Linked DNA regions of Coturnix japonica. The protein of the gene in region 4 interacts with the protein of the main gene of each other region in a biochemical or structural test. Links are inferred from orthologs where the notes say so. Each region holds a gene or a part of one and is shown on either strand. Other genes may lie near its edges.

Evidence for each region.
Region 1: the proteins of MED1 (region 4) and HNF4A form a complex in vitro, tested with the Homo sapiens proteins (2 studies listed by BioGRID). The link is inferred for Coturnix japonica from reciprocal best matches to the Homo sapiens genes MED1 and HNF4A.
Region 2: the proteins of MED1 (region 4) and ESR2 form a complex in vitro, tested with the Homo sapiens proteins (2 studies listed by BioGRID). The link is inferred for Coturnix japonica from reciprocal best matches to the Homo sapiens genes MED1 and ESR2.
Region 3: the proteins of MED1 (region 4) and ESR1 form a complex in vitro, tested with the Homo sapiens proteins (6 studies listed by BioGRID). The link is inferred for Coturnix japonica from reciprocal best matches to the Homo sapiens genes MED1 and ESR1.

Annotation. Positions count from the first base shown.
Region 1 is NC_029535.1:4,771,707-4,778,899, forward strand, and holds the start of HNF4A (hepatocyte nuclear factor 4-alpha), read right to left. Parts: upstream 4,875-7,193; 5' UTR 4,737-4,874; coding exon 4,616-4,736; intron 1,531-4,615; coding exon 1,353-1,530; intron 583-1,352; coding exon 488-582; intron 1-487. UniProt on the Homo sapiens protein: Transcriptional regulator which controls the expression of hepatic genes during the transition of endodermal cells to hepatic progenitor cells, facilitating the recruitment of RNA pol II to the promoters of target genes. Activates the transcription of CYP2C38.
Region 2 is NC_029520.1:48,167,515-48,174,798, reverse strand, and holds the start of ESR2 (estrogen receptor beta), read right to left. Parts: upstream 4,875-7,284; 5' UTR 4,612-4,874; intron 4,604-4,611; coding exon of another isoform or gene 4,563-4,603; exon of another isoform or gene 4,451-4,562; intron 1-4,450. Other genes in the region: MTHFD1 (C-1-tetrahydrofolate synthase, cytoplasmic), read left to right, coding at 4,563-4,603.
Region 3 is NC_029518.1:44,171,591-44,178,773, reverse strand, and holds the start of ESR1 (estrogen receptor 1), read right to left. Parts: upstream 4,875-7,183; coding exon 4,441-4,874; intron 1-4,440.
Region 4 is NC_029542.1:3,840,775-3,848,190, forward strand, and holds the start of MED1 (mediator of RNA polymerase II transcription subunit 1), read right to left. Parts: upstream 4,944-7,416; 5' UTR 4,767-4,943; coding exon 4,739-4,766; intron 3,882-4,738; coding exon 3,775-3,881; intron 3,316-3,774; coding exon 3,237-3,315; intron 2,853-3,236; coding exon 2,798-2,852; intron 2,668-2,797; coding exon 2,535-2,667; intron 2,209-2,534; coding exon 2,180-2,208; intron 1,826-2,179; coding exon 1,754-1,825; intron 1,645-1,753; coding exon 1,570-1,644; intron 1,274-1,569; coding exon 1,200-1,273; intron 856-1,199; coding exon 766-855; intron 628-765; coding exon 516-627; intron 222-515; coding exon 97-221; intron 1-96. Other genes in the region: CDK12 (cyclin-dependent kinase 12), read left to right, coding at 5,700-6,745. UniProt on the Homo sapiens protein: Component of the Mediator complex, a coactivator involved in the regulated transcription of nearly all RNA polymerase II-dependent genes.

The DNA of each region.
Region 1 (7,193 bases), on a different chromosome or scaffold from region 4:
GGTGTCCCTGCTATGGCTGATGTATCAGATACAACTCAGCTCTCTGCACAGGGCCCTAAAGGACCTACATCCTCATGAGCAAACTGTGATGCAAAAGGGTTGTTGCACGCTTTGCTGGAGCCACCTGTCCAGACATGGATTTGTAGGTGACACAGCAGTTCTCCCAAAGTGCTCCTGAATGACTCAGGCCTCTTCTGAGCTTCGTGCATCTCAGTGTGAGAAGCTGAAAGCTGTGGATGTGACTTGTGGGTACAAGGTGGGGGGGGGTGGTCAGTTCTGGGACATGGGCATGGGCTGGTGGCTCTCTCTTGGCATCTGAATAGGGCCCCTGGAACTGAGATTGAAGCTTAACTGAGTGCAAGGGCTCTGTATGGCTTAAAGTGGGCAGCTGGACCTGCCTGGGGCTCATGGAAACATCCAGCATCTCCCTGTCCTGCCATGAGGGAGGGCTGGTCTGTGCTGAGGGCAGGGAGGGGAAGGCACCCACCTTCCTTCTTCATCCCTGCTCGGAAGCACTTCTTAAGCCTGCAGTATCGGCACTGGTTTCTTTTGTCTTTGTCTACCACACACTGCCTGTTAAACCTGGGGAGAAACAGAGGAGTGAGGAGCAGTGAGACTGAGCCTGCGAGAGGGGAGGGGGAGAGGGGAGGGGTAGAAGTGGGCTGAAGTCCCCACATCTCTCCAAGGCAGTGTTGGCTCCAGGAGGTTCTTGCTGACCTCTGGACAGCATCGCTGGCACACAAGCAGCTCTGAGCTGCCTGTGCTTCAGAGAGGAGATGGCAAGCACCCAGCTCCTTCCCTACCCACTTGTATCACCACATTGATTGCAGATGACGGTGCATTACACTGATCTCCCGTATGCAGCATAAGCCTGGTAGCCATTTGCAGCATGAATTTCACTTGCAAATATGCTCTGATTAGCTGCTGATTGATCAAGCTTGCAAAGACAAAGGCATACAGATCTATGAAAGGGCTCCCAGCCATGCAGAGTTCTGTAGCTCTGGGAAGGCCTGTTTGTAACACACTTTTGAAAGCCCCAAGCTAAGATTTGCTCAAATGGATGCCAGAAAGCAGATCTTTAAGCACTGTCATAAAAGATCTGGTGTCAGGAGAACTGGGAGCCTTGGCTTTTCCCACTAGAGCTGTGGGGAGGGGTCTTCTTGGACAGACAGCCTAAACAGCCCTGCCTTGCAAGCAGCCGTGTGCTTCACATGCACTAAGTCCAGAGCTTATCGCCAGAGGATGAGGTCAGGGAAGACACTGGAGGATACAGAGGAGATGAAGGGCCATGCTGCAGCACTCAGCTTTGCTGCACAGCTGCTGGGTGCTGTTTTGTTCCCCTCTGCCCTTACCTGCAGGAGTACATGTGGTTCTTCCTCACACTCCTCCTGAAGAAGCCTTTGCAGCCATCGCAGCTGGAAGCCCCATAGTGCTTCCCTGTGGCACGGTCCCCGCAGATGGCACACAGTGCGCTCACCCCAATGCTGTTGGAAGTGTTGAGGTTGGCTGCTTCTGATGGAGATGTGTCTGCTTGGGAAAGGACACAGCAAGAACACAGTGAGACAGACAGCTGACAACTCCTAACTCCTTTTCCAGCAAGTTACCAAAGAACTGGGCAGCTGCAGCAGGTCATAAGAAGTGGTGGGTGCTCCGGGTGTCCCAAGTCTTTGCATCTCGAATGTGCTAATGCTGCTGCTGCGCCAGGGTGAGCAGCTCTTCCCAAAGGCCCGACTCCAGCAATGCCTTCAGGATACACAGAAACCCGTTTGCAGCTGTCACAAAGCACAGCCAAAATTCCTGGGGGATTTGCAGATGCTTTGGGCCTCTGCAGTATGGCCAGAGAACGAGTTGGTGCAGTTTGAGCTGAGGTTTTACAGCTTGGGGTGAGCTGCTGGTTTGATAGCGAAGTGTTGGTGTTACTGCACTGAAAGAGGCTTCAAGAGGCTGTTAGTGCACAATAATTGCATATGGCTTCAGCTGGAGAACTCATGGACAAATACCCACCATGTGAGGAGGGACTGACTGGGACAACCCAGAAAGAAAGGACAGCACTATAACATGGCGAAGGCTGTATGCTGGGTACCTTCCAGAGTATGGGATGTGAGATGCACCCTGCAGTCCTTACAAGCTGTAAGGGGACTGGTATGTGTAGTGTGTTTTTGGGAGGGTGGGGAATTGCAGCAGCCTGTGTAGGAGAGAACACCTGAAAGGCTCAAAACCATACAAGCCCTAGACTAAAATCCCTCCGGCAAGCCAAACAAACCCCAAGGCTGAAGGGATCAGCTCACTATTCAGTTGATCTAATTGTCCCCTCCCAAGCACATTTTCTTGTATCAGCATGGGACTCAGAGGAAATCCCGTTTGCAAATGATACACCTAGGATCTACAAAGCCATAGAAACCTACTGAGACTTTAACACCGGAATATGTCAATCCTAACAGCCCTCTCAAAGGACAGCAGTGGAGATCAGCAGGCCAACAGAGGGTCAGAGGATGACAGAATAGCAAGGAGGACCTCTCAGGCACTGCTCGTGACCCAGCCTGCATCCCATAGCACAGAGGTGGGCATTGTACAACCAACAGGGCTCCCAGAGAACATTCACCTTGCATTTCTGAGGGCCTGGCAGTCACTTTGAGGGGTGAGCACTGACCTCCCCAAGGCTATGGGGAACAGCTCAGTGCTCCTCATCTCCCCTCTCACCTTCTCCTTCCCCACACCCCCATTGGGTTTGGCAGGGATGCAATTAACACTTACCCAGGAGGGCCGCATTTGCTCCCACCTGGCTCCCATCAGAGAGGGGCTGCAGAAGGATAAATGCTCTGAGAGGGCTGGTCCCAGGATATGGGGGGTGCCTTTGCTGACTGGGAACTGTGAGTTGTAGAGGGTTAAGGTAAGTACATCAGGTGTAGGGCTTCAACTTTAGTTTCTGCTTAGCAGGAAATGGGTTGAAGTGGGCTCTGCAGCAGGATGTACACAACCTCCTCATGCTGCCCCTTGATGTAGATGTGTGGGTACAAGTGACCTGGGGTGCCTGCTGTGATCCCAGCAGTGAGCTCATGCAGGGCATCTCCACCAGCTCTTTCAGCAGCTCTCACTTCCCTGCCTGCTTTCTTTCTAATTCCTCACATCTTTCCTCTATTGCTCTCCTGAGTCACAGTTTGCTCTCTCCAGGCCCGGCACACCCTGCTGTACTGCAGGGTTGAGGAGCTGTGTTCCTGTGCCAGCTCTGGAGGCTCCTTCCTCTGCTCCTCAGTGCCGGGCCCATGTGTCCCTCAGTCCTGCAGGGCAGAGCGAGCAGCTTTCCTCCCAGGTCCTTCCTCTGACTGCGTTCCAAGGGCTCAGCTGGGTGATGCTGGATGATGCTTCTTCCAGGAAGAATGTTAGGTTTTCAGTTCCATTGAAATGTGGAGCTTTGCAAGAGAGGAAAACAGAGCCAACCCATACCCAATCACTATGCTCATCTGTGATGGTTCACATAAATCTCCTCTAGCAGTGTGTGTATCATGCTGCAAACAGGTAAGGAAGTTACCAAAGAAATCTCACCCTCTTGATCTAAGAGCTGACCAGAAATAGAACAATTTCTTAATGGATAACTTTCCAGTTAAGCTTACTTTTATAATGCCAGAAACATGGACTTCTGGCTGCTGTGGTGAAGTGAGTTTAATGGCCATTCATTTGGAGTTATATTTAATTTGTGTGGTACCTGCCTCTTGCCAGGTGCTGGGCACATGCAGCACAGAGCCAATGCCCCATAACCCAGCTGGCTCATCTGCCCATAGGCTGTGGGATGTGACACTGTGCCTGGGCCAGTCCTGTAGGACCCCCAGATGTAGCAGAACCCAGCTCACAGCCCCTGTGCAGGGCAGGTCCCCTGGCTTCTCCCTGCTGGGAGTGGAGCTGTGCCTTGTCCCAAAGGTTCAGCTGCTCACTGGTGGGGCTAAGGAGTGGCTTTGGGGCATGTAGGGCCAGCCCTGGGCAGGGAGATGTGCAGCTTCAGTTTCATGGGGAGCAGAGTTTCATCCTGAGGAAAGCTGTGCTGCTGGCGCTGCACTGGATGGGCCACTATTGCAAATTCTAGCAGGTTCAGTGTGATCCCACCTTGCTGAGGGAGCCCATCTCCCCCTAACCAGGGCTGCTGTCTCCCTTCCAGCCGGGTCCCCCCCTTAGCCCTGCAGCACTGCAGGCCCCGTGCTCCCCCTGAACAGCAGCACTGCGGGGCCATGGCCTCAGAGCAGCCCTTGGGTGGCATTTTGGGATGATTTGCACCCTGGCCATGCACCAAGCAGCTTTCTGCTGTTGGGAAGATTCAGCTCCAGCTGCTCTTACAGAACAGGGCTGGCTTTCTGCTGAGCCACAGGTAGCAGTTTGTTGGCACTTCTTGGTTCTTTTATTCCTTTCTGTGGGAGCCCAGGACTGACAAGACCCCTCTGCCCTCAGCTCAGTCTGAAGGCTGCTGAGAACCACAAATCCCATTCCCGAGGCTCCAGGGCACCTCTCTGGCACCTCGCTTTCCCTCTGGGGGCAGCAGGATCCCCACCGTGCCCCCCACCCTCCTCAGTCCATTCAGTGACCACCCTGGGGATGCATCGTCCCGTCGCCACCGGAGGGGACTTACCGCTGCCCATGGCCAGCACCTGCATGTTCTCAAACTCCAGGGTGGTGTACGCCGGGTCCAGCGCTGCGCTATAATCGGCCATCTCCATGTCTATCAGGGCTTTGGAAAGGCGCATTATCATCGGCAAACACGGGCCAGATTGTGCCGATTCCCTTGTCCGAGGCTATTGGCCCTTCTGCCTCTCTGTGCCTTCACTGCGTCCCCTATCTGTTGTCTTTTATTTCAAATATTTCTCTGAAAGGATTTGCTGAGCCTCAAGACCTATACTCCTCAGAGGGGTGGAGGCAGGGGGTTAATCTTTAATCATCTCACCCACTGCTAACGCTGGGTGGCTGTAGCTGTTGACTTGGCTAACGCTGCTGCCTGGCTGTTGGCTTGGCTTTTTTTTTTTCTTTTTGGTGGAGCTGCAGTGATTCTTGTTGACTGTTTATGATTGCATCTCGAGGCGCTGTGCTGATCCCAGCTCCCAGGAACACACGGGGAGAAGCACTCACCACTCAGGGAACACCTTTGTGGGGCTGTTGACCTTGGTGCTGGGCTGCACCAGTGCTGGGAAGGCTGGAAAAATCCCTGCCTGGGAAACAAGGCTGTGCCCCACTCCTACCTCTGCGTTCCCCTCTTTGCCTTCACTCCTGATCCCTCCTTTCTCTCTCTCCCTCCCTCCCAAAGCATTTCCCTTCCTCTCCCTTTCCCTCCCAGGGAAGGTCAGCACCCACATTGCGATTTACACGTTGCTATGCAAAGTAACAACGTAGGACTCATTTTACTTCCCTATAAACCCAGTTTTACAGGGGCTGAATGCCCTATAAACAGGTCCCGCTCCTGAGCTGTGCCCAAACAACCTTTGGGGTGAGGGTTTGCCTGAGTGCCAGGCACGCAACAGAAGGGATAGTGAAGGGACGAGTGGGGCTGGTTGGGTGCGCTGGGCACAGCCAGGCTGCTCTGTCCTGGCAATGGGCTGCCTGCTGTCACACACACCCTGGCCTGGCTTTGGCCTCTTAAAAGTTTCATTGGGTGTTTTATGGTGCAGCAGGGCTTGACTCTGCAGCATGATTTTTCCTTCTATGAATTCAGCCAAGCAGAGCTCTCCGCTGCATCACGCCTGCTGGCATCACCAAGGTGTTGTGTCAGGACCCCACTGAGTAGCAGGGCTCCTGCTTCCCCCCTGCCCACCCCAGGAACTCTCTGGGCCCCCTGCTTTTCCTCTGCAGGGCTGACAAGTTTCAGTGCAATTTGCACCACATGACAATGCAAGATTTAATTGATTACCCAACGGCGTCGTCTGGATGGCACGGGAAAACAAGCAATTAATGATTCAGCATCAGCTCGCTCTGCATTGAAAACATCCCCTTGATTTCACAATCAGCACCAGGTGACCGAGTCCACACGCTGCCAATTTGGGCTCCAAACTTGCTTGTGTTTGTGCTTCTCAGTGCACCAGCACAGCCCTGACTCCCCAACCCCTCCTAGCCACAGTGTGGCCCTGAGGTCCGTGGCCCCACAGTGAAACGTGCTGTTGGTGCAGTGATTTGCTGATCACGTTTAGGAGCACTGAGGATTATTCAGGCAGTCCTCGCCTCCCATCATGTACCGCTTCCAGGGAGTGCTTTTACCTTACAGCCAAGGAGCAAAACAGAGAGCAAGGAAAAGCTCCTGATATCTTAATTGGGGTTGGCAGTAAGTGATCATCTTCTGCTGGGAAAATAGCACCTCTATTCTCATGCAGTCAGTGGTTCTCCCCTGTAGCAGCAACAGCCCTGAGCCAAAATTGCAGTAACGATGTGCACCAGGGTGGAGGTGGTGAGACAGAGCACAGCCCCGAGGTGGCCTCATCCCAGGGACCTCCGTCCCAGCCCTGCTTGGGCCACAGTGATCCCTTTGATTAGATAAATGCTACAGACACTTGGTCAAATATGTGCAGGATTTGCCACAGTGTCTAGTAAAATACCATAAAAGCATGGCCCGTTTTGCTCCATTCAGCAAAACAACCCTTTTGCTTCAATAGCCTGCTGACAAAATAAGGCCATTTGCTCCTAAGGGTGGGAAGGGTTAAGAGAGCCAGGAACAGAAGACGGAGAGGCACTGTGTGCAGGAGAGGCAGATAAGGAGCGGGGAAGTTTGGGGAGCATTAGTGGCTCACGAGGCAGGGATGCAGAGTTTTCCATCTGTGGGTTTATGTGGGCTATTATTTTCTTGCTACTGGTGCCCCCTCACAAAACCCTTGTCTCAGCACTGGGGTGAAGGACACTACGCACTTCCTTTGCCCTGGGGATGGGCTCATGGCACAGAGACCCTGCCTGGAAACTGAGCTGCTGGATGTCTCTGTCCCACATCCCCACATGGTGGCTTTTGGGGTCAGCTTGCCAATGTCACCGCACCCTATAGTAGTTAATAGGATCACGATGTGCCGCAGATGCTTTGGGATAGAGATGTTTTCTGTATCCTCCAGCTATGCCAGGAGGTGGCTGCAGAGGAGCCATTACAGCCCCAGGGCGTGCAGCCTTCTGTGCTAAGTGAATATTTGATTTTTATCAGCTGAGCGATAAATCCTTCTGTCTTTTTCCACTATAGCACCTCA
Region 2 (7,284 bases), on a different chromosome or scaffold from region 4:
AAGCCCAAAGAATTCTTCATTTATTCATGTTTACCTTTGAATATCCTATTTATTGAAAGTATGATCTATGGGAAATCTGGTTTCATGAAACCCTGGGACTTGCTCTGCTATAAATGTTTCAGGATCTGTTCAGTCCCATCCTGTCTCCATAGGACACTACAAAAACAGAAGTTGCTAGGTTGAGAGAGCACCCTGTGACGGTTCATGCAGAGATGATACAAAACTAGCTAATGCTGCCTGGCTCTACCAGGGATGCCCTTGCTTGGGCTGAAGGAATTATCTGAGATGCTGTGTGTATTAAACTTCAATGGAAAGACTGCCTTCCAGATGTCCCCCACTTGCAGTTCTGAAAATTACCTCTCACCCCCTGCCTCCTGCTCCAAATATCATTGTGGCAGCCACACTCAGAAAGGCAGAACCAGTATAGCAATAATTTACATAGAAAACAGTGCAGAGACACCTAGTGAAATTTAGGAGCTGACAAAAAGGAGGGAAGATCCAATTTTGCCACAAGCCATTAACTATAAATCATTAGCCAAAGACAATAAGGTAGAATTAGAAATGACAATCTAGTGCTTGTGCTTATATTTTGCTTTAGACAATCGATTATTCTTTCTTTCTCATCTACCTGCCTGGAAAATGTGATAATGCATTACTCACAGTCAGGCTGGGACAGAGAATTAGGATGCTGTTTATTGCATGGAGAGCCACAACATGCTGTAGAAGTATTAGGAATGGTTATTATGCGAGAGGACTACTAAGGAAATGCTTTCTTTGCTCCGAATTGTCTCTTTACATCAGTCAGGACAACCCAGGGCCCACATTATCAAGCACTCCAGCACTGTTCTCAGTAGAATCATGTATGACACAAAATTCATCAAGCTGCTAATGGGACATTTTTGTTCTGCAGGATTCCTAAGAGATCAAGTGGAAGTGTTGTTAGATTTCTGTTTGAAGGTAAAGCGATGTATCTAAAGAGAATTAGCTAAAGGAGCAACAAGAGAATAAGCCAACAGAAAGGAGCCTGTGACAGATGCACTCAACTTTAAGGGGCTAACTACACTACAGAAACACCTCATGATGGAAACAAATATTAGATCATACCTTCTAGCATTACAATAACACAGCTTAGCTATGAGGGCTCACGTACACTGAGGTCAATCACAAGCCTCACGTCAAACAGTTCTGTCATCTGATCAAAGGTACAGTTGACCAATAGCATAAATCTTAATGCTACCACTCCCCCATTACTAAATTGTGTTCTCCGTCACAGGAAAGAAGTTAATGCTACCACTCCCCCATTACTAAATTGTGTTCTCCGTCACAGGAAAGAAGTTACATTCTACAGAAACATCACTTATTTGTCCAATCCCTCTTTGCTAAAGAAAGTAAAATGCATGAAATTAATCTATTCTCCCTATACTGAAGGTGATATCCTGTCCTAACCAGTGGGTGAAGCAATGACTAACATTACTCCTCAATTTGATGATGTGGGGTCAGTTGCCCATAACAGATTCCAACCTCTGGGGCCCTGTGCAAGCAGAGGCGCTGCTCTTAGCTCATCAGTAACATTGCAAGTCTTTCTGGCACACATTTTGCAGCTTTCGTGGCTTTTTTAAAAGAGCAACCTCAGTGACTTTTGACATGTTATGTAAGAGGGGGTGGATGCAAGAGTAAACAGGCAAAATGTGGCAGTTACCAAATCAAACTTAGGAACACCTGGCAGGGAGATGAGTGGGGTAGAACAGCTGCTGTGGAGCTGCATTCAAGAGCAGAGATCTACCTCTCTGAGGCTTCAAGTAACTGTTTTTACCTTTATCCTAACAGTCAACACAAAATAAGCCTTTTTTGATACAAGACTGTGCTTATCATTCTCAGAGTTGTCCTTATCACAGCATTAGATTTTTTATTCCTTATTGTTTTGCATAAGCATGGTCAAAATAATTGCATTGAAAGCATAAAACACTGATTACTGCTTTCAGCTGTACCTATTGGTACACCTTTGTCACTGTGTTTCTCCAAGATTTCCTTTAGAACAGCAGCTCTTAAGTGTTTTCCTCCATTTCAGGGCTGGATATGGCTCTAACAAGAACCAAAAAGGTCTGTTGAGCCATTTCTCATCATATAACCCTTATTCTGTTCCCTTTCCATCTCACTCCCAGTATTTCAACTTCAAAATGACAATTAAAAGTTAAAGAACAAGTTCTTACATAAATGTATGACACACAGCATCTGAGTGACAATTTCAGCTCCAGTACTTGACTGCTGCATGGAACAAGTTAGAAATAAAGAAGATTTTTCTGCTATGATAAAAGGAGATCAGCCAGTCTGATTTACTGTCATAAATAGTTAAAATTCATGAGTCTCTTCCTTCTCGTGAAAAGAGAATCTGGTTCAAACAAAAAGAGATGATAAAAGAAGTTGTTAGTTTGGTATTACTTTTACAATCCGGGTCATTTTATGTGTCATTGTGAGACATCTTTTATTCAGGAGCAGGGCCATTAAGAAAAGTAGAGAAAAGAAAAGACATGTGCAAACTGTTGGCATCTACAGTTTCTGATGGCACCAGCTTTTTTTTGCTCACTCTGCAAACAAGGCCATTGGAATATGTTTAAATAAATGGGCTTTCTTTTCCCACTGGTATTTATATGTTACCATCTTCAGCATCAAACCTTTGTTAGCAGCAGTTGTTTTTGCCTGTACTACCCTCAACTCAAAGAGTCTTTAGCACTTATTCCAGAACACTTTTTTTTCCTTCCCCGAGAGTTCATTCAGGCCTCAGATAAAAGCAACAGGAGAAACAAACAGGGCACAGAATTTTAAGCAGCTGAGAAAAATCCCCTCCCTCGGTTAATTGTATAATCTCAGTTTGGATCATGTAACACTGCAACTGTCTATTGGAACATCCCAGGAAATACAAGGAATAACTATAGAAAGGAGGGAAAAAAAGGTTATTTCTAGCTTTTTAAATTTAGCATAAAAAACCCCGAATGCAGTTTTCCCTTTCTTCCAAGTCAGTTTTAAAGAGAAATTTCTGACCTTTATTCCTACAATTGAAATGGTTTCAACTTCAGCTGGTTTGACCACTTGAAATAACCAGCTTTCCCCTCAATAAAAAAAAGAAAGCAGAGAAAAAAGCACAACAGTCATCACCCTACATGCTACAAAAGGAAACACACGGGAAAGACTTATCCTCAGACAAGCTTTGAACAATATATGGTATATAGTATATATCACCCTCCCAGAATAACAGAGAAGCAACCCTGGAGGTTCTCAGCTTCCAAAACAGAAGGCCTGTATATTTCCATCCTCACTGCATTGTGAGCTAGATGGAAACTGCAACAGCTGTACTCCACTCCTCTCAAAATCAGACAGGTCCCCAAATCCATTCTTGACCCGATTACAGCACTGAGAAGCATAATGCAGTGTTGTAGCAGGATTGAATGCTTTCTCAGCAAACCCTTTAGACCAGCAACTTTCATTTCCAAAATGCACTTCAAACAGGCTTTTTTAGTCCTAAACTCTCACTGGGACTGTTTCTGTATTAACATCAAACCCCTGTCCTCCACACTTTGTGAACCTGCAGCGATCATCCAGTTTCTTTGCTGCACTGACACCACATAGCAACAGGAATAAAGCCTTAGAGTAGGATGGGAACACAGTACTGCTCCATCCCATCACCAACTGTGTTCACAGAATCACAGAATGACCCGGGTTGGAAGGGACCTCAAGGATCATGTAGTTCCAACCCCCCTGCCTGGCAGGGCCACCAAACATACACCTTTACTAGATCAGGTTGCCCAGAGCCCTGTTCTGTCAGTTCCCTGTCCCCAATCACTGTTTTCTTGAATCACATCCTACAGACAAACCAATGAGCTGTGCAGCTCCTTGGGGGCATCACAAGCAATGCAGCCTCAGTGTATGGTATCCAACAATCCGTCCCATCTCCATGAGAAAAGCACAGAAAGCTGATTTTCACAGTTCACATGTGGGTTAACACAGAGCACTGGTTATATAAAATGGAGAACTGCACAGATCAGAGCAGCCTCACAAGGAAACACCTCCCTCGGCACCACTGCTTAGAGGACATCCTTCTGAGGGATAAAACGGCTGAATGAAAAACCATTTACTCTTAGCAAAGTCTGAAGGGTCCCATAGTAGCCATCTGCAACCCTAGACCATAACATACTGTAAGTTATACGTATGCTGACTTATTTAATAAGTGACCAGCAATTTGCGTGAGCACAAAGCACAGCGCAAAGGCGGCTTCTCCATCCCTATGCACAGACCCCCTCTGTGCACATCCAGGGACCGTGCAGCACTAAAGCCAGCACCGAACAACTCGGGGGCTCCCATCTCGCTAAGAAACTCCCTGCTCCCCCCATCCTTAGGGCGGTGAACAACGCAGGGGAGGGACACGCACAGCACAGCAGCCCGCCGGGGTGGAGCAGCGCTTGCGCTGTGGTTGCAAATGAAAGTTTAGGGCCCACGTGGGGGTCGGCGTGTCCTGCAGAGCGATTCGGATCCCTGCTGCGTTTGGCTGCTGCCCTCCCACCCTCGCCATGGCCCCCGCAGAGGTTCTCAGCGGCAAAGTCGTCTCCGCGTACGTACCCTCTTCTCGCAGGGTCTGCCGAGAGGGAGGGAGGTTTTCCTTTCATAAGACCTCCCCAGGGCTCAGCGTGGGGGTCTGCTTCTTGTTGGCCCCGTCCAGCGTCAGCCCATGGCTCGTAGTTGTTCGGCATCTCTGTGCTAAGTGCCCAGCCCGATGCGATAAGTTGCAACCACTGCCTCTTCTCTGTGCTCTCAGGATGCTTTTTGGGCCTGAGCTGGCAGCTTAGGGGTGGTCACTGCTTTCAGAGTATTGGTTGCTTCTTTTTAAAGCTAATTAATTTAATCTGTGGATCAGATAAAATGAGGATGAGTGTTAACATGTGGTTCACGGGCACAGGTAGATCTAGGGAACCCATTATACTTGTCAAAACTGTTGGGAAGATTTGTCAGACTTCCTTCTGCTTTCAGCTTTCACTCACCTGAGCCTCGTGCCATGTAGTTTTGCTTATTTTCCCTATTGCTGCTCTGCAGTACGTTGCTATGCGTACATGTCCATGCACTATATGTGAGTACACTGCTGGTCTTACACAAGGAAAATGCAGAATTTAGCTAAGGGTGTGATAACCCCCCTGCTGTGGGAAGGGTTTCCAGTCACTGGACAAGGCTGCTCAGAGCCACATCCAGCCTTGCCTTGGATGCCTGCAGGGATGGGGCATCCACAGCCTCCTTGGGCAACCTGTTCCAGTGGGTAACGTGCTCCAGTATTTGTCCAGGATTTGGACAAATGATCTAAAATAATCTCTGAGAAGTTGTTGGGGCTCATCTTTTTAATTTATAGTTATAGTGGTGACTCTTTTATTTCTGTTTGCTTTCAGTATTACATTAGCGGTTGTTACAAGAAATGAATGGTGTTCCAACACCTGAAAGAAAGCAAGATTGTAATAGGTGCATGCGGGAGAAAGGATTACTTAGTTTCCAGCACAGCTCTGAGGTTCTTGGTTGAAGCCTGTCTTTGAGCAGACATTGAACCTTGACCTGAAAACAGCACAAATTGGGGGAAAATAATTGCATCTGTACAGATGTTTTTCATTTCCTTTACATCTCCTGTATTTATGCTCAACGTAGCAAAACTGTATCATGGCCTCCAGGTATCACATATTTTTTCTCTAGTGGAGTGTTTGTGAGGAAATGGACTGTCCACGTGCAGATATGTCTCTTTTTCCTGGCCCTATGGAGAAGTGCTGAGCCAGAGGATTCTCAACATGCAGAACCACTGTCAGGCCAAGAGTCTATCAGAGAAAGAAAGAAGCAAGTGATAGGCATGTGCTCTTTCTAGGAATACTCAACTGAATTTTTCTGCCATAGTAAGGGTGTGTTTCTCAGTACATCACCTGCAAAGTCCTTTTAGTTACAAGGGTAGGGTTTTTCTATTATTTTCTATTATTTTAGGCATTAATTGTTAAAATTTTGCTTGTAAGTCAGTCAAATATTAACAAACAAGGAGAATCAATGAGTCAGTGTTCCAGCTAGTTAATTCTGAGTTTATGTATGTGTTTGAAATGAAGAACTCCTAAGTCCTATCAACTTTCTTCTCCTGCTACCAGCCACCCCTTCCAAAGAAAGGTGAAGGAAATGGCTAACTCAGAGTCATGTCATTTATTAAAATAAAAAGCAAAAAGGTAAATAGCGACATTCTTACTTTTGTGAGTCAGTTGAAGAGAGAAGATACTTAGAAAGGTGGTGCTTCCTTGTCTCTGAGATCAAGGATAACTTACTCAGGAGATAAAGCTAGTTAATATCTAGAAAGTCTTTGAAGGTTCAGAAGAGACACAAAGGAAATCAGTCAATATATGTGAGGATAGTAGATGTGATTTTATCATGCGTGGAAGGGAGAACATATAGAGCAGCAGGCATTGTGATTTGTGTAGGATTTTGCTGCCTAAGTTAGTGATACTTTGAGTAAGGCATCTTCTTTCAGTAGAAACAAGCTCTTCTATTCAGTCTGTGAGAGATATTGGATGTATTACAATGAACTTGAGTGTGAGGTGAGAGCAGGAGACTTGTGGATTGATTGCAGCTCTGTTGTCTAAACAGCATCTTCTCCCAAACAAAGCTAGGCTAGGTCATATGTTCAGCAGCATCAAGTACAGTCCACAGAAGGGATGGAAATACAACCTGATTATTTTTTTATCCTAAATTTGGTGCCACTTACATCACAGCTACCCAAGCCATGACATGTAAAGAATCCAGCAGGTGTGGTGGAATCTGCCTGGGGAGATCCTGGCATGAGAGCTGTGCTTCTCTCTCTCTGTGTTTCAAGCAGAACTGGAGGAGGGTGGTTTGTCCTCAGCTATTCTGGGAAATTCACTGCATGAATTTAAATTCTGCTCACTTCTGCAGTCTAGTGAAAGAAAGGCTAACAACTGATTTAATCTTTGGAACTGGCTTTTTCATTGTATGCTTAAAACCATGTGCTGTCCTTAACCCGTGTGGACCCTGGACTTGTGTTTGCAGTGGGAGTTTGTTTGTGGAAGAGCCAGAAGTACAGGAGGTGTCTGAGGAGGGAAGGCTCTTGGAGAAGCAGCCCTGTCCAATTGCCAACTAATGTTTGAAAACTCGAATAAATGTTGGTACTACTAATAAATTTGTCAATATGATTTTTTTTTCTTATCTCCGTGAAGATCTGAATTATTCTGTCATGTATCTGCAAAACTACAGAGACTGCTTTTAGTT
Region 3 (7,183 bases), on a different chromosome or scaffold from region 4:
ATATATATACATATTATATATATATATACACATCCTGTGTAATATCTACCAGCCCTATCTAATCTTACAGCCTCTGAAACTGCATCAATACATTCCTCAAGGAAAGCTGAAAATACAAAAAAGTTGGTATCTACAAGACCCTCATGACTGTAACGTGCCCTTCCATGAGACAGAAAAACATGCAATTTTCCTATCTCTTTCTTTATAGGCACCTATTGCTGTAAAATTAATAGGTATACCAGGACAGTCTCTGAAAACAAAAACACTGAATGTTGAGGAAACTCTGGTCAAATATCACACCTCACTGATGCTTGACGAGGACCTGAGAACAGATTGTTGCTTTAGAGAAAAGCAACTTTATCATGCACAGTATTCCTTCATGTTCTGGAATAATTCATACTTCATTATGAACAAAAAATAAAAATTAAAAAACTAAAAAAAAAAACCAAAAAAAAAAAACAAAAACAAAAAACCAAACACCTAAACTCACTGTCCTTTGATTTTTCTATTCATTCTATCATTCTTTTAATTTTAAAATTTGAGAAAATCCTCATTATTTAAAATTCAGTATGAGCAGCTATAAAAACTCATAATGAGTCAGGTAAGGTTGAAATAAAAAAAAACAAACACGTTTATGAAATGCAGAAGAGACATATGTATGTGATAATGAGGAGTTAAGCTAAATAAATTACTATCTGAATCTAATTCCAGAGCTTGAGGTACTAGAGGAAGTAACTAACGATTTTTCATCTAATATTTCTGCTTGTATGCTGACTTTTCATCTCTGTCACTCACTAAAAACAAAAAGCTCCCTCATCAGGTAGCTGGTAAGAGCCACCTCATTTCACATGGGTTTCAGTCAGATTTGGAAGCAGCACCAAAGGCTACAGAGAGCCTGAAATACAGACAGAATTTTATTTGAGATGTGCAGACTCAGTGGGATAACACTCAAGCATTGCACACTGGAAGAACAACAAAATTCATCTTCGATGTTGTTATAGGAATATACGAAGGTAAATTAGGTACTGAATGCCTTCATGGTATTTCCATGAATGAACAAAAGCCTGACAAAAAGGATAAGGAAATAATTTGACCAGAACCCAAACGTAATAGTTAAGAACAAAAGAAATCTTTCAATTAGTTTACTACAGTACCCACGAGTGCAGGATTTCCTGTAATAATAATCAACGACTAAACTGCCTTTAATAAAACCACTACTAAAAAAAGGTATTGGAGAAAATAAAATATATGTAAGATATGAAGAGAATTAAAAACGTTACTAGTGCTGTACCTTCTCCCCCTTGCGAAAAGATACAGACACTGTAAGATAAGGGAAAGGTATTTTAATTTGGCTCCCTATAAAACCAGCCACAAGGTCAGATATAAAAAAAAAAAAAAAAGTCAGGCTAAAGACAGCACAATATGAATTAATTAAACCCATTCTCTTATCTCAAGTTCGGATGACCTGTGATTTAGAAAGCACAGTAAGAAAGAGACCGGTGCTATGTTTTTTAATTATTATTATTTACAACATTTGTTCTTTTCTCTATGTACTGTTATGTTCTACAGCTGGACATAGAAGTCTGTCATTATCTTGCAATAAGAAATAAAGTCTTTTGAAATTAAAACACAATTTGAAAGAAATAAAATGTAACTTTAGTATTAATACGCATGTGTAAATTAGTACGTGTTAATAGCGTGATTTTCAATGCTTTTAACTAAATGCAACAACATTAAAAATTTTCCTTATTACATGTGAAATATTTTTATTTTTGTGACTGAATACTTTGAGCATTTTATCTGGGTATATGCTAAATACAATTTCAGCACGCACCAATCTACAGTGAATATTTATTGTCCTAGTCACTTGTATCAGAGAATGCACTATTTTGCATCTCAAATCCAGTGTATAACAGGAGGATGCAATTCAAACTTTACAGTATTGCAAGCTAAACAGCACAACTGCTGCACCAAAAGGGCAAATAAGAATTTTCAAGGGGGCTTTTTGAGACTCTGGTTATATTACTTATTATCACAGCAAGAAAGCGATCATAAACTGATCATGATAGAATTTAAATTTTTGTATGGCTTTGGTTTTAGTTTTTTACGCCTTTACCACTCATACTAGTATGTTACATCAGAAATTCATCATTTTGTTACTTAGACATCTTCAAATCTCCAAAATCTATGTGTTTGTTGCCAGATTACACTGCCTTATGTTCTCTTTTGAATTCAGGTGGGATTGGAACAGACAAATGAATAAAGCAAATTGGAAAATAATGCACTAAAATTTTTGAAAGAACTTGCTCTTGTACCTCATGATTAGATAATGAGATGTCTCCCAGACACCGAACACCTATTTAGAATATTTCTAGCATACTATTTATAACTGGTATACAAGAATAAGAACCTAACATTTAATTTTGTCAATATGACAACTTCCCAAATATGGTCTTTGTGAAATTTTTAAACAGCAAAGCTTTGTCTATTTAATCCTAACAGTACTATGCCTCGTAACAGACGATAATCATGGGGAGGACTTTGTTCCACATTTCCTATTACCATGTCAAATGTGCAATACAGAATCAAGGCCAGAAGAGGCCATTAAATCAGTCTTGTAACTCTGTATTCGGATAAACCACCTGCACAACCAAGATCATACATTCACCTAATTTCCACTGCTTTAAGCCTCATATATTATATACATCTAAAATGCATCTTGAAAGGACATGCCTATCCTTGACTGAAAACATCAGGACAATGGGAATACACCGCTGCCCTTTAATGCTTGTTGCAGTGCCTGAATGTTACTACTACAATGTATGCCATTTTTATTTTGAAGTGTCCCACCTCCGCTCACTGTTAGAAAATAAAATAATGCCATTTCCACAGTTCAGTTTTCATTTCCAACTGATTCTTGGTTTTTCTCCCTCCTCAAGTAAAAAGCCCTCACTTTAGCCCATTTCCTGCATGTGCATTTCAGCTTCACAAACTCACTGTTCAGCTGTTTACACACCACATGTCCCTTAAACGCTTTCTAACAGAGTTTTGCCCTGGATAATCATATTGAAAAATAAAAAAAAAATAAAAATAAAAATAAAATAAAAACAACATGGAATCTAGTGCAAAACACACTTTCACACCCACATCACTGTTAAACAATCCAGATACTCAATGTTCAAGTACATTAATTCCTCCTAGAGTTATTGCCTTCAGTTGCTCTAAAATACATTTTGTCTGAATCAGTTCAGCTAAGAGACATATTAGTTGGGCTGCCTGGCCTAACCGTTATCTTTTCACTTGTCTTTATTCCACTTGATCCCCAAAACCGATTAATCATTTGCAAAAAGTGCAATCACCATCTGTTTTTTTGGATCAGATTCTGCTACAAGATTATCTCAGGTTGCGTGACACTGTGTTTAATAACCTACATTGCTGTTCCCAGCAACAGTTAAGTCTGGCCTCGACAGGGAAAGGATAACCTGGTTTTATTTTTAGAGGGTCTCTCCATTTGTATAAAAATCACCTGTATTTCACAAATAAGCTGACATGGACAGCATTTAGGAGCTAACCGTTCACTTTAATTTGCTATAGTCCATTATTATATGCCAGTAAAAAATTAAGCTATTAACAGTGCACAAAGATTAACAATGTGAGTACTGGTGTGTTTGATTATATTTTCCTGGAAGCTACAGTTCTATCAGTTTCTCACACATATGTCAGAAATTAAGTATATGCTTTCACAATTTCCAGTGCGTATTAAAATTCTTCTATTGAAGGATAAATATAAATTTAAAAAGAAATCATATTTAAATTTATAAAAATTATTTTGAAATGCAGCATGCTAGATTTATGCTTAATATATATCAAAGTTTGATTAAAAATGCAAGGCACATAGCTCTTATTGCAGCTCATTAAAGTGGTTGCTGACTGAAATACTGTCATTGAATCAGTTCAAACAGTTTGATTTGGAAGGATATTGTGCCTGTGAACTACTTCCTATATAAGTCACTTATCCTGTAAAGGATACCAGAGGTAAGTAATACTCTTACTAGCAGCTAAGAGCTGAACAAACAGCCAATTGCACATTTTCAGTATGCTTCTAGACAGTAATTTTAATATACTGCAACAAGGAGATTGTTTGCCACTCCTTAATCAATTATGATTTCATGTTTTCCCAGGAAACATTTACACTCATTATCTAATTTGTTTCCCATTTACTTACAGTTTTCATTATTTACAGATCACAGGCACAGTAAGCTGTGAGTTACAGTTTTGTTTTATCCTCTGCTATTTTTATGGTCCCGATATCATGGAAGATTCCACAAGATTACACAGTCCTTTACACAAAAATGAAAGTGTAGGGCAGACATATTTCAATATTCTGATTTCTCAGCATAGCTGCTTAAAGAAGAAAGAGAAATTCTCTGTTGCACTTACCTGTAGAAGGCTGGAGGAGCAGTTTCCCTCATCCCGAAGCTGCCCTGTTCGTTTTCAAGGTAGTAGGGTACCTGCTGGCTGTGGTGATGGATGAAGGGTGAGAGCTGGGGTGCCGTTTGCAAGAACACCACTGGGCTTGGTGGGACATTGTTCAGAGAGTGAAATCCTGCCAGGCTGCTGGACCCAAAAGATTCAGAAGTAGGGGCATAACTGAGTGTAGTAGAGCCGTACACTGGAGCGGTAGTACCAAAATCGTAGGTGGCCCCTTCTGGGTAGTTAAAAACTCCTGTCTTGTTGCTTTCCACGTACATGTCGCTGAGCGATCGTTCCAGGGGAATCTTCAGCTGAGGTCTGCTCAGAGTCTCCAGTTCAGTGCCTTGAATCTGGTGCAGCAGGGTAACTCCAGAGGCTTTGGTGTGAAGGGTCATGGTCATTGCTAATGGCAGGGAGCAAGGAACATATCTGCTTTTACTGTCAACAGCAAGATCGGCAGCTGGCAGTCCACCTAAAAAAAACACCAGAACCTATTCTGAGGCTCAGCAGAAATCATGTTAAAGCAGCACTACACAGGTATTCCTCTGATCTCGGCGAGGAGGAGTATACAAACAAATGCAGGGTGAGCACTGGAAAGGCACATTCTCCCTCTCCCTCTAACTTTTGAGAACTCCTCATCTGCTCTAATATGCGTTACAAGGTGCTGGCTGCAAGCCAGGGGCTCTTGCCTTGTGCCGACGCTGATTTAAACATCACTTCAGAAACAATTAGTTTTGGAGGTACACCAAACAATTGTCCCACTAAATGTTACTTTATTCTTGCTAGTCATTTAATTTTTCACTGCAGGGCAGCCAGCACTCCACAGCAGCTAACGGGAAAGGACGCTGAAATCAGACCAGAAAGACTAGTCCAGTGGTCAGCCAGATTACTGCCTTTTATTTCCTCAGCAGGCTCCAATCTATCTGTGCTTATCTCTCCCTGTTTGATTCATTTTCATGTTTGCTAGAAATATGTAATGTGTACATTGTAATGACCCTGGATAGGACTATGCTGTAACTGAGATATGGCAAAGCAAAATGCATGTGCAAGCGCATGCATCTGTGTGTGTAACAAGTCTCTGTCAACAAAACTAGCTAACAGAAATTAAAGAATGTAAAAGATTTGTGTAGGACAAAAGGTTTATAACAAGCTTTATCAGTAACAGTGACCCAAACTAGTGAAGTGAAAATTTACATTAAAAAAAGTGAGGAAAAAATTTAGATTAGCCCATAAATTCCTGTCTGTTTCTGTTTTACCTTGTAAAACAATGAAGCAAAGCATCTTTCAGACTTTGCCATGGTAAGACCTTAGAAACTAGGAAGAAAGATTTCAGCGCACAAAAAAGGAATACAGGATTTTTTATTTTATTTTTTTCTATTCCCACAAACAAAAGCTCAGCAAGCTTAGATTTTGCTATCAACTTGAAAATAAAGTACTTGATTGGAATCAGTGTTAAAGTAAACTGAAATAATTCTCAAAGTTATCTTTAGGGGAAAAAAAAAAAAAAAAAAAAAAAAAGGTGGAGAAAGGACATAATGAAAAGGTGTGGCATGCATACCTCATCTTGCAATCTCATCCCAAATAATTTTAACTTTTCACAAACCACATCTCCTGAACCAGCTAAATGAAAACCTTCAGAAACCGTCCCAATTTCTCTAGCATCATTGTTGTGGTCTGCAATTCACTCAGTTAAACAGGTTAATGTTGACCCTAAACACATTAATATATGGACTTGAGTTAGTATGATTTGAATACGAGCAAAGCCTACACTAAACAACTCCACAGTTATTCAATGCAACCTTTGAAAAAATGCAAGAAACCAGAAAACTGAATGTATAGGTCACTAATAGCTTCTAGAAAAGTTTACTATAATCTTTTTTACCTTAGTAATAATATGGTGTTTTAGAACTTCTGTTAAAAAGCAGTCACTTATATTTCCAAGATTACACAAGTAATATATATTCGTACCTCTACTGACATGCAGCTAAGACAGCAGCACACACATAAAAATGTACTTGATAGATTTCCTCACCCTCCCCACCACCCTCCCTACCCTGTTCAAATTTCAGATTCTAGACTTTGATCAAAGAGATAAGCCTGTTTAAATAACACTGGACTAAACACATTCCCAGTAAAAAAAAAAAATAATAATAATAATAGACAATCATACCCAGAAGTTCAGAAAGTCTTCGAAGAGTTATTCTGAAAATATGCCAGAGTGTGAGAGGAAAAAAAAGAGAGTGTGTGCCTGTTTGCATAGAGTGGTTGAATGTGCCTCTGCAGAGACTCACAAAACAGCAAGCAAGTAAAGCTCTCAACAGCCTGTCTGCTGGGCTACACAGTCTGAAATGAATGGCAGTTACGAGTTTAAGGTCGGTCACTCTTATAGATTCATTTCGTGCTTCAGTAATACACAGAAGAAGCATTGTCTCATATTATGCTGCATAATCTGAGAATTAATGTGAGCCTGTCTGCCATATGAAGTGCCCGCTTCTTATGTACACTACAAAATAGACTTTAACTTTTTATTTAAAGCATTATCTGATGTGCATACTATTTCAGAAATACTACCTTGACACGTAATAAAACGTTAAAGCATAATAGCTGTGCAGAAGAGGGGAGATAGAAGTGTATGCACACAGAGCTGATTTCTGAACGTGTCCTGTGCAACCTCAGTGCTCTTTCTATGCAATTTCTTTTTAATGTCATG
Region 4 (7,416 bases):
GCTCAAAACCTTAAGTAACTTCCATGGCATGCTTTAAAAAATAGCAGCAGCTGATCAATAAAAACCTAATATTTGTGTCACAGATCTGCGACTCACCTGTGCAGCTCTGAAGCTTCTGAATGAAAGCTCGAGATACTGGAATGGGACGTGGGAACTTCAAGAAGAAGCAAGCTGGTAAGTCCACACTGTTGGCACTGGTGATTGATGAGAACGATGGAGTTCTGGAACATTGAGTTAAAACAAGGTCTTATTAGATGCAGGGCATGAGTCTGGCTCCTGCTATGACTGCCAGACTTGCAATTTACTCTTTTCTCAAATACAAGCAGATTGTTATACTCTCTTAAAAAGTAAAAGACACTCCTCAAAAGTACACCAAAACACACAATTCTCAGCTTCACAAGATATTACAGTATAATGCAGTCATCTCTCCATCCTAACTTCAAAACCAGGCTGAAGTCTGGATTTGCATCTAAATAAGACCAAAGACAGGCCTGGCTGACAGGCCCTTTGCTCACCCTTTGCTGTCCACTGGATGAGAACCCATAATCAGCGGCGCAATGGGAAGTTTGTACATCGCCATGGTTCCCTCAACTGTCACTGACACGTTCATACCCAAAGATCGAGGAACTGCAAGACAAGGCAAGAAACAAAGAACAAGGTAAGCTGATGAATAAAAACCAAAGCTTTACAAATTATCCCAAGTGGAAATACATCAGTTTCTCCATGTAGCAGAGTAGTCCGCAGTGGCTTTCACAAGTGACCTACCATTGCTCTCGTGCAAAATAACAGGGGCTCCAGTGCCATCTTCAAATAAGTCATAGGGAGAGACGTAATACTTGAGATTCATAAGGAGACCTGAAGGAGAGAGGCTTATGAACAAGCATCTGGATGATGTAATTGAACCCAATCGTTATTAACCCCTGTAAGCACATAACATATGCACTGTAACTCTGCACAGAGCTTCTACAGCACCTTGAAAGAGCTGTCAAAGACTGGACATGGCCAACTGGCACAGTATTGCTATGCATGGCTTTGTAAAGGAGAACCAGCTTTCTAGATCATGTGGGACTTACAAATCTTCCACCACCCTGTCCCTCTATGATTAGCATTTTTCATTATTATCATTGGTTAATATCGATAAAGGGGACCCTGGACAAAATCATCTTTTCCTTTCTTTCTTAAGTGTTAACCAAAGATACCTCCGCTCCTGGGGGTGAGATAGCCAACACTGCCATGAAGAATCTTGTCCAGTGGGTTTGCATTGGTGGCTTGCCTGCAAGAGAGGCCATCACCAGTTTGTAATGAGCCAAAACCACATCTGAAGCCACAACTCATGTGCTGATGGAAGTCTGAAGATCTCCTCTTACCGCTCTCCTCTGCTAGCACAGCCTTTCTTAGACTTCAGACTTGTACTTTTTAGCAACAGTGTAATACAATACAGTGCCAATACATAGGCACTGGTACAATACTTCATGGATATACAGTGCTTGGCATGATTAACAACCAGGCAACGTGATACAGCAACTCAACCACCACAAAGCAAGCAGCAAATGGTAACAATGTGCTTACCAATACATCCCTGCCATTTTTGAGAGATCCAGCTCCAAGGACTGAAGGGCCAAGTACATTTTAGTTTTGAGTTTGCTGGGAATAAGGAAAAAAAAGGAAGAAACCATAAGAAAAATTAAAAGGCTTGAAGTCTTGTTCGCTTTCATACACGCAGTTGTAAATACATTGCATATTCTAGACTTACTTGTCTCCTGGCAACTTATAGAGGTTCACAAGCCCCCGCAGATGCTTAGAAAACTCATCAAAATTTTTCTCTCTGAAAGTAAAAGAGAGAAATGTATTCAGATCTGTTGTAGATAAGGCTTTGTTTTTAGAGGTTACACTAATACAAACACTAAATCACTTCAGAATAGGTTTTTGCTATATGAAAGCTAAACAATGCGTTCTTTAAATGATCCAGCTTTAATGATTCTGGTGAACGCTTTGCTGTGCCTTCCAAGATAACATGCACAGCAGTTAGGGTGAGAAACATCTGAAGCAAAGCCAGAAGATCTCCTGGAGAAGGGGAGAGACTTCATGGGGAAAGAGCAGTTCAGAAACGTTCTGTGTTTCCAAGCATAAAACAGAATCAGACCAAAATCAGAATGATGCAACAGCTCTTGTTGCTCACCTCAGATGTTGCACCAATTCTGGACAGCTCTGAAAAGGAAAGAACACACAGCAAAATCAACATCAAATGCTTCAGTGTAAGTCTTTGTGCAGCACAGCAGCTGTAAAATATCAGGACAGTGAAGTCTGTGAGCATCAGTTTTGATGAGAAGCAACAAAACACTCACAAATACAAGATTAATTTCCCTATTCTTCCCCCAGAAATGAAACTTTCAGAAGCAGCAGAACAAGCAGATATAACATTAGGTTTGGGGGAATGTTCAGTACAATCCATTTTCTCTGCACAAGAAAAAGGGAAGCAAAACTGCAGTTCCAAAAACAAAGGTATTTTTCTTGTATTTCTTAGCAATACGTACCACAGGATTCTCTCCATGGTGAGCCACCTTGACATCACATAGCAGCCCTGTAGGATCTAACTGGACTTCCACATAGAACATGTCTGAAGTGATGTAACATTCGGTGCCATTTGCACTGAGGTGTGATCCAAGGCTTAAATACAAAACAAAGCAAAAATTACTAAGAGATACACACAAGAAACAGTCAAACCAGCAGCAAAATTATGATGTATACAGATAAGTAGGAGATACAAAACTGCTGTGAAACAAAGGAGAAGATGTACCCATTTTGTCTGGCTATGGACTCCAGGCGATCTGTCATGGCAGGCAGAGAAGACACTAGACAAAGAAAGCAAAAATAAGCCTTAGTGATACGACTGAACATCTTTCCAGTAATGATGTATCAGCATTAAAAGCAATCCCAACTACTTACTCACACCCACTCCATACTCAAAAAACAAGAATCGTTTTGCATAGAGAAAAACAAACATTCTCAGTGTGGATTTTCATCCACAAGTGGAATCCATGTATGGGCAATAAGAATAAAAGCAACACAGGCAATTTTGGCTGATAATGACTCACAAGAAATAAGCATGCTTCTATAAGCACCACGAGCACACTGAGCTTTGCAAGCAATAACCTCGCAGGTTCCTCTAATACAGAGTATTTCCATAGTATATCACTGTTAAGCATTTCCTGAGTGCAGGCACAGCACGTACCAACCTTTTAATGCTTTTTGCAAGGTCTCCAAACAGCTCACCAGATGTTGGTGCCCCCCAGAGTTCATCACAAGTCGTTTTTCCTACGTCAGAAAGAAGAAAAACAGTCGTTTTAAAGTTTCACTCCATGAGAGGAAAATTACTGCAATTTTCATTCAGTCGAGTGAGGTTTATTCAGGTAATTAAAGGCAGATTGGATTTCATCCCCAAATTACACCCTCATTGCGATTCCTGTACCAGAATCATATCCATATTTGCAGTGGGTAAAACAGGCAGGTCTGGAATTGATTATTAAGCTTGCTCTTGTGAAAGATCAGACTGCAACAACTTCTTAAATAGCATAAGCTACGAGTTATATGAGAGGAGCAAGAGAAACAAAGAGAGATTAACTTTAACACCACAACACATACAGCAGCTTTTGATGATGCTCTTCCCTGCCTCCCACTCCTTTCTACCCTCACCAAGGTATTTCAAAGCTGCATCTGACTGAGATAACACTGAGTGTTGAGCATCACTGTAAAGGAAACCCCAGCACTTCTCACCATGACTTGACGGACCAGCTTCATGGTTTCAGTCCAAGGTCTGTTTTGGTTGTACTTTGCATGAAGTCTTTCTAAGAGAGCACTCATCTTATTCAGCTTCTCTGCCTCTGTCAGACAAAGCGGAATGAAAACATAGAAACAAAAGAGAACGTGAGCTGATTGCACAGCCCTTCCAAGCCGGGACACACTCAGCCTTTATAAATGTGTGCTGAATCCAATCTATACATTGTGGGGCTCTAAAACTCATTGTAGCACTTTATTAAGTTACATTGTTATGGAAGGCATCTCCCTGATACCAGGTATTTCTGGCTCCAACACAAGTCTATGGCAACATAACTGCCATAGAACATGACCCTACAAGGCCTATAGAATCAGAAGGGTTTATAAACTGATACACACAGATGTCATGGACTTAATGCCAACCCCATCAAATCAAAGCAGAACAAACAACCGAACGGTTCGCTACCACAGGAGCCCATCAGCCTTTATTTCCATCCACCACAGCCCCGCTCTGGAGCTGCTTAATGCCCAGCTTTGAGACCCATTGAGACCCATGGGGACCCCATTGAAGCCCATTCAGACCCATAGAAACCCACTGGGACCCATAGGGATCCATAGAGACCCAAAGTGGGGAGGGGACCCGACGACCCACACATGGTGAGTATGGACCCATAGGGACACATAGAGACCCCATAGAGACCCATAGGGACCCATAGAGATCCCATAGAGACCCATAGGGACCCATAGAGACCCATAGGGACCCATAGAGACCCCATAGGGACCCATAGGGACCCATAGGGACCCATAGAGACCCCATAGAGACCCACTGGGACCCCACGGCCGGGCTCCGCCGTTCCCTGCAGGCCCAACCGCCGTCCCTCGAGCTGTGGAACCCCCCCCATCCCGAGGAGGCCGGGCCTTCCCTCCGCCTCCACACAGCGCAGCCCCGCTAGGCCGCACTCACCCTCAGCGCCTCCCGGCACCGCCTTCATGCCTCAGGGAGGGGAGGGGCGGCCCGCGGCGGAGCCACAGGGCCGGTATCACGTCGATAAACGGGAAGGGATGGGGATAAACCGCGGCCGGGCCGCTCCGCTCCGGCCTCACACGGCGGCGCCCGCCGCCATCCCTCCGGCCGCGGCTCCCGCTTCTCGCGAGAACTTCTGAGTCTCGCGAGAGGTAGGGAGTCATGGTGAGAAGGGGGAGTGATTAGGGGGCGGGGCGTTGCGCTCAAGCCCCGCCCCCTGGATGCTGATTGGTGCTGAGCGGGCGGAAGGGGCGGGGCTTCGTGCGCTCCCCGGGACGGAGTAAAGTTCGTTCTCAGACCTCGCGAGAAGACGGTGCGCGCGCGCGCACTCCCTTCCGCCTTCCCAATTCTCAGCGCTTGAAATCTCGCGGGGGGAGGGCTCAGGCCGAGTCTCGCGAGAAGCAGCAGTTATCTCGCGAGACTTGGCGGGTGCCCCCCTTGGGCCGAGGAGCCGTTTCGCTTTGGGAAGTGAGCGGGGGGCGCTGGGCCGGGCCGGGGCGGCGGGGACCGAACGGGGCCGCACGGTGGGAACCCGGTACTGAGGGTTGGGACAGGGCGGGAGGGAACCGGACACAACGGGACCGGGAGGGATCGTGGGCCCAGCTCCCGCCTTCCCGGGGCTCCCCCCGCGGCGGCGCTGCCCTCCGGGCCTGGGCCCCTCGGATGAGGCGCTGAGGCCCGGTGTCCTTCCCCGCCGCTCCCGGTTCCGTTCCTTTCCCATTCTCCCTCTCCCCGTTGTTCCCTTCCTCCTCGCTCTCTCCGTCCCGCTCCCCATGCAGCAGGAGGTGCCGGGGGGCGGTGAATGGTTCGAATAGAGGGAGGCTGAGGGAGTTGGAAAGTCGAGGAGGATTTGGAGGAGCGCCCCCGCCTCCCCCTGTCCCAGCACAGTGGAGGAGGAGGAATGCCAAACCAAGAGAGACATGGGGGGAAGAAGGATGGGGGCGGCGGGGGGACCTCGCTGCACTCATCGGGCAGCTCCAATAGCAAGGAGAGGCACCGGGTGGCTTCAAGGCATAAGAGGCATAAATCCCGGCACTCCAAGGAGTCACCGTTGGCCGCCCAAGAGACGGCGGCGCCTCTGGGAGCTGTGATCAAACCGTTGGTGGAATACGATGATATCAGTTCGGATTCGGATACGTTCTCGGATGATTTGGCCCTTAAGTTGGACAGGAGGGAGAATGAGGAGAGGAAAGCGGATAGGAGCGAAAGGACGCAGAAACATCGACACCACCAGCACAAACGTATCCGTGAGCTGATGAAGAGCAAACAGGCAGAGAAAGAGAGGAAGTTGGAAAAGAGCCTGGAGGCCTCCAGCAGGTCCGGGTCTACCAAGGACAGGGTATCGGGGTCCTCTAAGAGACTGCTTGAAAGCGAGGAGCACCCGAAGGCCCCGTCCTCAAAGAGCAGCAACAAGGAATCCCGCTCAGCCAAAGCGCACAAGGAAAAGTCCAGGAAGGATCGGGAGCTCAAGTCCAGCCACAAAGAGCGAAGTAAAAGCCATCGGAAAAGGGATGCTCCCAAAAGTTATAAAACCATTGACAGTCCGAAACGGAAATCTAGAAGTCCCCATAGAAAATGGTTGGACAGCCCAAAATTGGATGACAGCCCTTCTGGAGCTTCCTACGTCCAGGAGTATGACCTCAGCCCGCCCCGCTCTCATACGTCCAGTACCTACGATCCCTATAGGAAGAGCCCCGGCGGCTCGTCACGCCGGCAGTCCATCAGCCCACCCTACAAGGAACCCGTGGCCTACCAGTCCAACACACGGTCTCCCAGTCCCTACAGCCGGAGGCAGAGGTCCATAAGCCCCTATAATAGGAGGCGCTCGTCGAGCTATGAGAGGGGGAGTGGATCGTACAGCGGGCGCTCACCGAGTCCCTACAGCCGAAGGCGCTCCAGCAGCCCTTTTGCTGCCAAGCGTTCCGTGAGCCGAAGCCCCATAGCCAGGTGTGTGCTCTCCACTGTGACTTCTTCCTCTTGGGGACTGGGGGAGGGACTGGGGGGGGGGAAAGGATGCATTGGGGTGGCTGGGTGTTAACCCTATTCTGCATCTGGATTGGGCCTGCTCTGGAGCAGTGCCATGATTTGGCAGCACGGTGTGTAATCACTCTGGGTCAGGTTCGTTGCTGTTTCCTGCAGTGGTGCTCAGCCTTGAGGAAACACCTCCTGGCTGGCACTGAGCAGCATCCATGTTGGCTCCCAGCAGTGGCCAGGGACAGAGCGAGCCCCGGGGATTGAGTTACACTCACCTCTGGAGGTGGCCCCCTGGCAGGGGGGGAGCTCTGTGCAGCACAGGGCCCGGATGCTCCTCAGTGCTGTGCAGCTCAATGGGAGGAATGTGTTCACCTCTGCTGGAACCCCTTATCTGTTTGCTGCGTGTGGAAATCTGATCTCACTCTTTAGGAGGTTTGTTTGTATTCTGTGTGTTTTGCTCTTTCTGAACTGACTTTTTTTCTTTCCTCTCTCCCTGAATTAGATGAGCGCATGTAAACTCCATCTTTTCAGCTTAAACTTTTCCTTTCTCAGTACTAGAGTTACTACTTTCCCTTCTGAAATTGGGGCATTCTGGAAAAAACAGGTAGAAATCATCTACATTTTGTCTTTCTTTAGATAGTAAT